Nothobranchius furzeri: one gene and its partners. The protein of the gene in region 2 interacts with the protein of the main gene of each other region in a biochemical or structural test. Links are inferred from orthologs where the notes say so. Each region holds a gene or a part of one and is shown on either strand. Other genes may lie near its edges.

Evidence for each region.
Region 1: the proteins of lats2 (region 2) and mob1bb form a complex in vitro, tested with the Homo sapiens proteins (2 studies listed by BioGRID). The link is inferred for Nothobranchius furzeri from reciprocal best matches to the Homo sapiens genes LATS2 and MOB1B.
Region 3: of the proteins of lats2 (region 2) and amot, one has a biochemical effect on the other in vitro, tested with the Homo sapiens proteins (3 studies listed by BioGRID). The link is inferred for Nothobranchius furzeri from reciprocal best matches to the Homo sapiens genes LATS2 and AMOT.

What each region holds. Positions count from the first base shown.
Region 1 is NC_091746.1:66,457,824-66,461,481, forward strand, and holds part of mob1bb (MOB kinase activator 1B), read right to left. Parts: intron 1,608-3,658; coding exon 1,474-1,607; intron 1-1,473. UniProt on the Homo sapiens protein: Activator of LATS1/2 in the Hippo signaling pathway which plays a pivotal role in organ size control and tumor suppression by restricting proliferation and promoting apoptosis.
Region 2 is NC_091754.1:33,294,078-33,297,449, reverse strand, and holds part of lats2 (serine/threonine-protein kinase LATS2), read left to right. Parts: intron 1-170; exon of another isoform or gene 171-296; intron 297-689; coding exon 690-822; intron 823-924; coding exon 925-2,507; intron 2,508-2,623; coding exon 2,624-2,851; intron 2,852-2,940; coding exon 2,941-3,295; intron 3,296-3,372. UniProt on the Homo sapiens protein: Negative regulator of YAP1 in the Hippo signaling pathway that plays a pivotal role in organ size control and tumor suppression by restricting proliferation and promoting apoptosis.
Region 3 is NC_091750.1:44,155,624-44,158,892, reverse strand, and holds part of amot (angiomotin), read left to right. Parts: intron 1-773; coding exon 774-902; intron 903-1,386; coding exon 1,387-1,625; intron 1,626-1,971; coding exon 1,972-2,253; intron 2,254-3,269.

The DNA of each region.
Region 1 (3,658 bases), on a different chromosome or scaffold from region 2:
TTGGCTATATAGCAATACCACAATAACACATGACGTCACTAAAGGCCTTTTCAGATTGACATTCCGGAATATGTGTGGACAATTCAGTCCAGTTTTTAACCAGAACTGTGTTTTCAGACACACCACTTTTGTACCGGAACTTGTTGTTTCGGCTGCCTTCACACAGCAGGGAAAAGTTCCAGATGTCTGAGGGGGAGGGGGATCGGACTTATGTTAAGCATAATTCTGCGCACACGAAGACGCATAAGACCTAGATGATGGCGCTCAATGGTTAAAGGAATCACGGAAGCGGTGTGAAGCGCTCCGTCGCGCGTCTAGACGGTACCGTAGGAGGCGAGCTGCCATGGTACGCCGCATGCTACAGGAGCGAGCTATCTAGGAGCGCACAGCGTCCCCCGGTCCCCTCCTCCTCCCTGTCCGGAACTCGACCTCACCAGTCTGAAGCAGCCACCTTGTCCGTGACAAGTCCGGACCTGTTACTAGGGGCATCGTCCGGTTTAATTAAGGAAAACGTTTTCCGGATGTTTGTATTCAGACACAAAGGTCTTACGGACAGAGTCCGGAACATTTCAGTTTTTCATGGCCTGTCTGAAAGGGGCTTAAGATGTGCACCCTGCTGACACTGGGGCAACAGAATGGCAGTGACTGCAAGCATGGAGTGGGTGGAAGAGGAGGTCTAGATGCCTCAAGTGGCATATATTTGCCACATGAGGATATTTAAAAGCATGTCATTTTGACATAAATAAACATATATCGCAATATATATCGTTCCCGCACATGCTTCAGATTATATTGCAATAGAGATTTGAGGCCATATGGCCCAGCCCTACAAACAACGTTCATTATTTACACACCAGAAGCTCCTGGAATGGTAGAAGTTTTAGAACGTGTTGCTTTGCTAACAGAATGCTCCAACAAACGTAGGAAACCTTTAAGCTGTGGATGTTAAATAAAGATATACACGCTTCTCTAACGCATGCACATTTAGTTCTCCCACTGATATGTAGAGCGCTCCATCAGCCAGACATCTGTTTGTGCTCCACCCTGAACAGCACATGCCTCAGCTAGCATCTATGTTAAGCCTTTATCATGTCTGCGATTCTGCACATAGTTAAGCAGCCACTTCCAAGTGTGTTCGATCCCTATTTAACATATCTTTAAAAATGTAACTGATCTTTTTTAAAGAACAAAAAAATGCATGATTGTTTTTGTGCAAAACTAGGCGGTAAAGAGGGATGAGGTCTGAGAGACGAGCGGGAGAGAGAATGTCATGGGCAAATAAAAACCTGTCACAAATCTATGGTACATTACAATTCCATGTGACTCCAACCAAAATGTACTTTTGTCTCAATGTTGTGTTTCCAGCGAGGCGTCAGCTTTCAGCTCAGTTAGACAATGGTCTAATGGTAAACTCAAACGATGCACAAAAACAGTCTTTTTAGGGCTGATTAGAAACCAGGCAGTAAATCCTACCGATCTTTGAAGGGAAAAGTGTTTCGTCATCAAGTTGGTCTTGCACCCAGGTCATGAGGTAATCAATATACTTTGGAGCTGAGCATTTAATGGGCTTCTTGATATTAGTTCCATCGGCCCAGTGGTACTCATACCTACAGGAAACATAGAAACCATAAGGACAGATATGATTAGGGCTGCACAATATATAGAATTATATCACAATAGCAAAACTTCAAGGGCTTCCAATAAATCTCAGGGCCAAACTGTAGGTAAAATGAGATGAACCCACACCACCGTAAATGCCCACAGCCTACACACACAAAGTAATCTGGTCTACAGGTCCTTCTCAAAGAATTAGCATATTGTGATAAAGTTCATTATTGTCTGTAATTACTGATAAACATTAAACTTTCATATATATTAGATTCATTACACACAACTGAAGTAGTTCAAGCCTTTTATTGTTTCTAATACTGATGATTTTGGCATACAGCTCATGAAAACCCAAAATTCCTATCTCAAAAAATTAGCATATTTCATCCGACCAATAAAAGAAAAGTGTTTTTAATACAAAAAAAGTCAACCTTGAAATAATTATGTTCAGTTATGCACTCAATACTTGGTGGGGAATCCTTTTGCAGAAATGACTGCTTCAGTGCGGCGTGGCATGGAGGCAATCAGCCTGTGGCACTGCTGAGGTGTTCTGGAGGCCCAGGATGCTTCGATAGCGGCCTTAAGCTCATCCAGAGTGTTGGGTCTTGCGTCTCTCAACTTTCTCTTCCCAGTATCCCGCAGATTCTCTACGGGGTTCAGGTCAGGGGAGTTGGCAGGCCAATTGAGCACAGTAGTACCATGGTCAGTAAACCATTTACCAGTGGTGTTGGCACTGTGAGCAGGTGCCAGGTGGTGCTGAAAAATGAAATCTTCATCTCCATAAAGCTTTTCAGCAGATGGAAGCATGAAGTAGCTAGCTGCATTGACCCTGCCCTTGATAAAACACAGTGGACCAACACCAGCAGCTGACATGGCACCCCAGACATCACTGACTGTGGGTACTTAACACTGGACTTCAGGCATCTTGGCATTTCCCTCTGCCCAGTCTTCCTCCAGACTCTGGCACCTTGATTTCTGAATGACATGCAACATTTGCTTTCATCCGTAAAAAGTACTTTGGACCACTGAGCAACAGTCCAGTGCTGCTTCTCTGTAGCCCAGGTCAGGCGCTCCTGCCGCTGTTTCTGGTTCAAAAGTGGCTTGACCTGGGGAATGCGGCACCTGTAGCCCATTTCCTGCACACCCCTGTATACGGTGGCTCTGGATATTTCCACTCCAGACTCGGTCCACTGCTTCCGCAGGTCCCCCAAGGTCTGGAATCGGTCCTTCTCCACAATCTTCCTCAGGGTCCTGTCACCTCTTCTTGTTGTGCAGCGTTTTCTGCCACACTATTTCCTTCCCACAGACTTCCCACTGAGGTGCCTTGATACAGCACTCTGGGAACAGCCTATTCGTTCAGAAATTTCTTTCTGTGTCTTACCCTCTTGCTTGAGGGTGTCAATGATGGCCTTCTGGACAGCAGTCAGGTCGGCAGTCTTACCCATGATTGCGGTTTTGAGTAATGAACCAGGCTGGGAGTTTTTAAAAGCCTCGGGAATCTTTTGCAGGTGTTAGAGTTAATTAGTTGATTCAGATGATTAGGTTAATAGCTCGTTTAGAGAACCTTTTCATGATATGCTACTTTGTTGAGGTAGGAATTTGGGGTTTTCATGAGCTGTATGCCAAAATCATCAATTTTAGAAACAATAAAATGCTAAAACTACTTCAGTTGTGTGTGATGAATCTAATATATATGAAAGTCTAATGTTTATCTAGCCTAGTGAACTAGACCAAATTCTTGCTTTGCAAAGAATGGTCTAGGCATGCTCCATTGGAACCTCAGCAGCTCCTACCAGGACTCTGGCTAGCCAATCACAACTCTCTAGAGGGGTTTCAAACACATAAAGAGCTGTGATTGGTCCATAATGGTGGGCCAATCCTAGTGCTCTATCTGCTTAGTGAACAAATCACAGGGCTTTATCCGCTTTGTGGGCCAATCAGGGCACTCTATATGCCTGGTGGGTGGGATGATGCAACAGAGTGAAACAAGAGTATGTCACATTCATTGTCCAGTAGCATGCGGAGATCATTTGAAAAACAACGGTAGAAC
Region 2 (3,372 bases):
GCTTTAGCTCACCTAATAAGACGTCGGACTCTCGTGCAGAAGACCTGGGTTCAATTCTGGGTGTGAACATAGTTCATTTAGAGTTTTTTTTTTTTTACATTAATGGTGTATTTTTTTACAGTAAGATGCCCAAATTTTTATTTGAGACTCGCCGTACGGCATTGAATTCACAGATGAAAAAGATGTGGGTTCAACTTTCATTTTGGAACAATTCTTCAAGCAAGGGAAGGGAATGATCTGAGCATGCAGGAGGACTGACCCATCATAAACCTTTGTCGGCTGTGCTGAAGAGAGAGGTACAGAACCAAATTATTTAATTAATTAGTTGCGTGTTCTCCTGTCCTCCGGGCCACACACACACACACACACACACACACACACACACACACACGACTGTCTCAGCTGTTATTTTCGTTAAGGAGTGTGCACGTACAGCATGCGCGCTTCGTGCACGAGCCTACTATTGAAGCTGCCGTTACGCTTTTGGCCTGAGGGGGCAATCGCGAGCATAAAAATTCTAAACTCCGTAAAGTCCCTTTAAGTAAAATATTGCCGTATTTGATCACCTTTAATTGTTTTTGTCCGAGTGATTACATCTAAATAAATCACCTGCGTTGTGATCATTGACCTCATTGATGGTTCTGTTAGCTTTGTTGTGTTTAGGACTTCAGCATGTTTGTGTTTTTTAGGAAATGGCGGTGCGAGCGCTGAAGCAGACGGGCAGCAGGAATATTGAAGCAGCGTTGGAGTACATCAGTAAAATGGGCTACCTTGACCCTCACAACGAGCTCATTGTTCGTGTCATTAAACAGACGTCGCCGGGTATGAACACCCAGCTGGTGGCTTATTATTTACAGCTTTTACTGGATGATGAGAAGACGTTTTTGTTGAGCATGACATCTGTGACCTCCTTCCATGTTGCAGGTAAAGCAGGGATGCAAAACACAATGGACCATCGGCCCACCTTAGAGGTTCCAGGTGAGGCAGGTGCCATGCCTCCTTATCACCAGATGGGGGCTTCCATGTATGACGGGGTTGCAGGTTATGGACCTGAGGGGGAGATGACCAGGCCTTACATGGGTGCCCCCCCTGTTATGAACTACATGATGCCCCCTTCCAGTGCAGCTCAGGGTGCTGCAATAGGGAATCCAATGGGTCGGCCCCCTAGCATGGGCAGCTATCCGCCTGTGATGCCTACCCAAGGCAACCCGGGTAGCACCATGTACCCCCCAGGGGCTCAGCAGAAGGGCTACCCTGGCAGCATGGAGCAGCACGGGCCCATGATGAGCTACAACGTCCCGGGCCAGCCTTTGCAGCTCCAGCCACAGCCACCAGGGGGCCCTGTTCCAGGGCCACACTATGATTATGGCCATCCCAGGCAGCACATGATGGAGCCTGCAGGCTACGGAGTCAAGAGGACTCCTTCTTTCCAGAACAAGATGCAGCCACCACCTATGGCCCCTCCAGACAACTACATCAACATGCAGGGGAAAGGGGGAATGGTTCAGAATGGGCCGGGGGGAGGAGCAGGTGGATACCCCACTAACATGTACCTTTCTCCTCACTCCCACCCCCGACAAGCCAGCCCCACATCCCACCCGGTCCATATGATGTCCCGCTCCCCGGGCGGAGTGGCAGCTTTGGGCCCCGACTTCTCAGATCTGGCCCAGATGACCCCCTCCAGGGCCAGCCTCAACCTAGACCTGTATGACCATCATTGGGGGGGGCCTCCAGTTCCTGAAGGGGCCCCTCCATCCAGGCAAGCCCAGCCCCAGGGCCCGTTTCGGGGGGAAGTACGTGTGCCCAGCAGGACTAACTCCTTCAACAGTCGTTCTGCAGGTCCAAACGCTGTCCGACCCACGATGGCTGCACCCCCCACTGCTGGGAAACAGGACTCCTCACTGGGCCCTCCAAACACCATCACAGCTGTAACCTCCCCACCTATCCAGCAGCCAGTCAAGAGCATCCGTGTAATGAGACCAGAGCCCAAGACTGCAGTGGGACCGTGCCACCCTGCCTGGATGACTGCTCAAGCCCAGGATGCAGCAGAACCTCTGACCTACATGCCGGAGGAGACCTACCCACTAGATCCTGTACAAGAGCCACGCTGTCCTCCTCCACCTTACCCGAAAAATCTGCTCATGTCTGGAGCAGCTGGAGAGCCTGGGGTCCTGGAGGGAGCAGGTGCACCAGACCCGAGCAATCCCGCTACCAGAAGCACACACAGTGGCAGCGGGGGGAGTGGAAAGGCCGAAGACGGCCAGCAGCTCAAAGAGAAGACAAAGGTCAGCAAGGGAGAGAAGACGGTGAAGGACAAGAAGCAGATCCAGACGTCCCCTGTGCCTGTCAGAAAGAACGGACGGAACGAAGAAAAGAGGGAGTCTCGCATCAAATCCTACTCCCCCTTCGCCTTCAAATTCTACATGGAGCAGCACATAGAGAACGTGATGAAGACCTACCAGCAGAAGCTCAACCGCAGGCTTCAGCTGGAGCAAGAGATGTCCAAGGTAAGATAACAGAGCTTACTGCTCATTTAAAACCAGTTCAGTCGTGTTTTTGGCACAAAATGACAAACCCAGGTCAGACCACTGGCTTCAGCTTGACCCTCCTCTTCTCTGCCCAGGCTGGCCTGTCGGAGGCAGAGCAGGAGCAGATGAGGAAGATGCTGAACCAGAAAGAGTCCAACTACAACAGGCTGCGCCGTGCCAAGATGGACAAGTCCATGTTTGTCAAAATCAAGACTCTGGGTATTGGTGCTTTTGGTGAAGTGTGCCTCACGCGTAAAGTAGACACATGCGCACTTTATGCCATGAAAACACTGCGCAAGAAAGATGTCCTCAATCGCAACCAGGTGATTTATTATGCATTTACTCTATTACTGATGAATTAGTGATTGGTGAGCATCAATCAGAGAAGTCCTAACGAGTGTTTCTGGTGCAGGTGGCCCATGTGAAAGCAGAGCGCGACATCCTGGCAGAGGCAGATAACGAGTGGGTGGTGCGTCTCTACTACTCATTCCAGGACAGAGACAGCCTCTACTTTGTGATGGACTACATCCCCGGAGGAGACATGATGAGTCTGCTCATCCGGATGGGGGTCTTCCCTGAGCCTCTGGCACGCTTCTATGTGGCCGAGCTGACGCTGGCCATCGAGAGCGTCCACAAGATGGGCTTCATCCACCGCGACATCAAGCCGGACAACATCCTCATCGACCTGGACGGGCACATCAAGCTGACTGATTTTGGTCTCTGCACAGGCTTCCGCTGGACACACAACTCCAAGTACTACCAGAAAGGTCAGGCAGGCAGTGAGAACGTGAGATTTGGTTTTGTTTAAACGAGCACGCAGGGACAACGAAGCTACAGAGTCTAG
Region 3 (3,269 bases), on a different chromosome or scaffold from region 2:
GCTGCTGAGTATGTTGTTGTAGTCCCACATCAATCGAATCTTCTGACCAGCGTCATAGGAACAGCACAGTCTGTGTAAGGCGGGAGGAATTTCACGTTGTTCTCAATGAAAATGTTACATTACCATGGTAACCCCACATGTAATACAAGTAATAATTTACACTTCTTGTGCCTGAACGGAATGTTTTGAGGAGTAAATTGTGCTGGTGAATGAATGAATGACATCTTCATTTCAGACATAAAAAATATTAATTATATTATTTATTATTTTATTATTATTATTAAATAATTAATAACAGATCTAATCAGGAAATGACAGGAAAATTATGATGTGCTCATTAAATCCTACCCCCCAGATGCCTCATCCAATAAAAACACCCATATAAATATTTGTATACTTAAGGTGTCCTCCATGTCACACATAACACTAACTCGCTCACCAGATCATGCAGAAATACGGCCCATCACATGTACTCCTGCATTAATGATTCTTTTAATAAAATATTTTAGTTGATTTATAATTACACAGCTTTTTAATTCCTCATCAGCCCTGTTCCACACATTTCCTCCACAGACTGAAATGCACATTATCCTCATTGGTGTACATGTGGACACAGTCCCCATGTCCCATGTGCAAAGACTATTTTCAAAGGTACAACAAGGCAGGAGACTCCTGGTCTATGTATATGGACTAGAGTGAGAGACATGGTAAAACTCACCTGATGACTGGAAGCCGCCGTTCTGTTGACGTGAACTTTGACCTTTGTTGTGCAGGGATGCTTCTGCAGCAGGAATAAACCACTCACCAAGCAGCAGCTACGACACGTCGCTGGAAGCTCGCATCCAGAAGGAGGAAGAGGAGATCCTCATGGCTAATCGTCGCTGCCTGGACATGGAGAGCAGGTTAGAGCCACATTCACTGTGTGCACTTCTGTCTTCATTCACATGTACATGACGTGCAGGCTCCCCTCACCCTGACCGCTGAGGCGTCGTCGCTCCTGAACTTTAACTGCAGGAGTGATGAGTCAAAGACTTTTGTGAAACACCACATAGCTCAGACTACTGATGGATGGACCACCAGAACCACAGAAGTTTTCCTAACTCGGACTCATGGTTACATTACCAGTGTTAACCAGCTGAGAGCATTGTCTGGAAACTGTTAACCGCAGCAGAGAAACCTCTCCTCTCTGATGGAAATGCAGAGAGAAGGGTCACATGGTGTCACTGTATAGCTGTAAAGGTTCCTGTTACCTTGGGTCGGGGTTAAGGTTGTTGCCTATTGCTGAACCTGTTAATTAAAGAAGCAGGTGGGATTAGTGCTGACTTGCACACTCAATTTCTCTCGATTAAGGGAGCTAAAGCTGTATTCTGTTCTTATATCCTCCAGGATAAAGAATCTCCATGCACAGATCATTGAGAAGGACGCCATGATCAAAGTTCTCCACCAGCGCTCCAGAAAAGAGCCCACCAAGTCAGATGCACCATCTGCAATGAGACCATCTAAGTCTCTGATGTCCATCTCTAACACTGGCTCTGGTGGGTCAGGGTTACTGTCTCACAGCCTTGGACTCAGCAGCTCCCCGATCACTGAAGAACGCAAAGACACAAGCTGGAAGGGCAGTCTGGGTACAGACCTGTCTGTTTTTTTTCTTTTTGTGCTGAGGATTAACTTCTTTGTAAATCAGACGTCAGAAACGTAAACAAACCCAGAACAAAGTACTCTGTTGTCATAGAGTACCACTACAGACATTCTGTGCTTCTGTTTTTACCTACTTTCAAACAAATCATTCCCAAACTAAACACTGGAACTCCTTTGTCATCAATATCCTAACTTCATGAAGGAGTACAGTGTTTCATAAAAATCACAATTGTTGCAAAAATAAGAAAGATGAGCATTTTTAGAAGTGCCTAAATACATGAAGCAGAAGATGTCCTTGCTTTTTGATGAGATCTTGTTTTCTTGGTTTTCCAGGGGTTCTTTTGGGTCCAGAGTCTCTGAGGACAGAGTCGATCTCATCTTCCCCTTCTCCCATACTGTCTTCCACCTCGATGATCACAGGCCACTCTAAGACTGGCAGTAGGGATAGCTGCACACAGACCGACAAGGGTCAATGCCAGGACACCAGCAAGCCCAACACTCCAGTCCTGCAGAGTATGACGCTGCCAGCCCGCCTGTCCAGCCCCAGCCCGGTTTACATCCCTGATCGCTTAGCAGGTCAGCTCACTCCATCGGAATTACACAGGATGCTACAAGGTGAAGAATGCCAAGCCACTTTACTCTCACCTTACAAAGCAAACTTTACCAAATTCGCTTTACTAAAAACAAAACGCACTTTACTAAAGTAAAAATTTCTAAACAAAACTTCTAAAATGAACTTTTCCTAAAATCACTTTACTAAAACAAAACATACTTTACTAAACAGGGTTGGGCACCGAGCATCGATTTGAACCGGGACCAACAGTTAGTTTTTCCTGGAATCGTTCAAAGTTTTATTTCGATTCCTAGTTTTGATTCCTAGAATGCCGACGGAAGAGGAATCCGCGGCCGATTTCAGTGAAAAATAAACGTGATCTGCAAATTGTGATCAACACTTTTCAGAGCTGATCACACCAGCTGTCTGTGTGCAGCACCGAGTCCCCCCCTCCCTCCAACCCAGATATAAACAAATGCGTCTGCCGAACTTTTACTCCGTGATGTAAACTTTAACTCCTGCAGCGTAGAGGAAACGTGTTAAAATACATCAACACGGTGGATTTAATAGAAGCTTTAAAGAACAAACTCTGGATGGTGTGAGGTGAGTTTGTCTCACGGCAGAAATAAAAATACACACGGAGCGTCAGCGTGCGTGTGTGTGTGTGTGTGTGCGTGTGTGCGTGCGTGTGCGTGTGCGTGTGCGTGTGTGTGTGTGAGCATCAGAAGGCTGAACAATAACCTGTAGAATAATTAAGGTCATCATGCTAGAGCAGCTTCTCTGTGGTGGACCACACCAGCTTCTGCCACAATAAATAATAATAATAATAATAATAATAAATCACACACAAAGTTGTGAAATTTCCTTTCTGAACTGTTTCTGTTGAGTTTTAATGTTTAAAATCTGTTAGATTGTTACTGACAGCAGCTACGTTTAAGTTTCACTTCCTGTTCTGACTGAACGCTGCTGCAGCATGGAGGTGTGGTTCTCAGTAGGGATGTCCCGATCGGGTTTTTTTGTCCTCGAGTCCGAGTCATCAGGAGGAGGTCTGAAAAAAGGCCTCGGAACCAAAAAGACA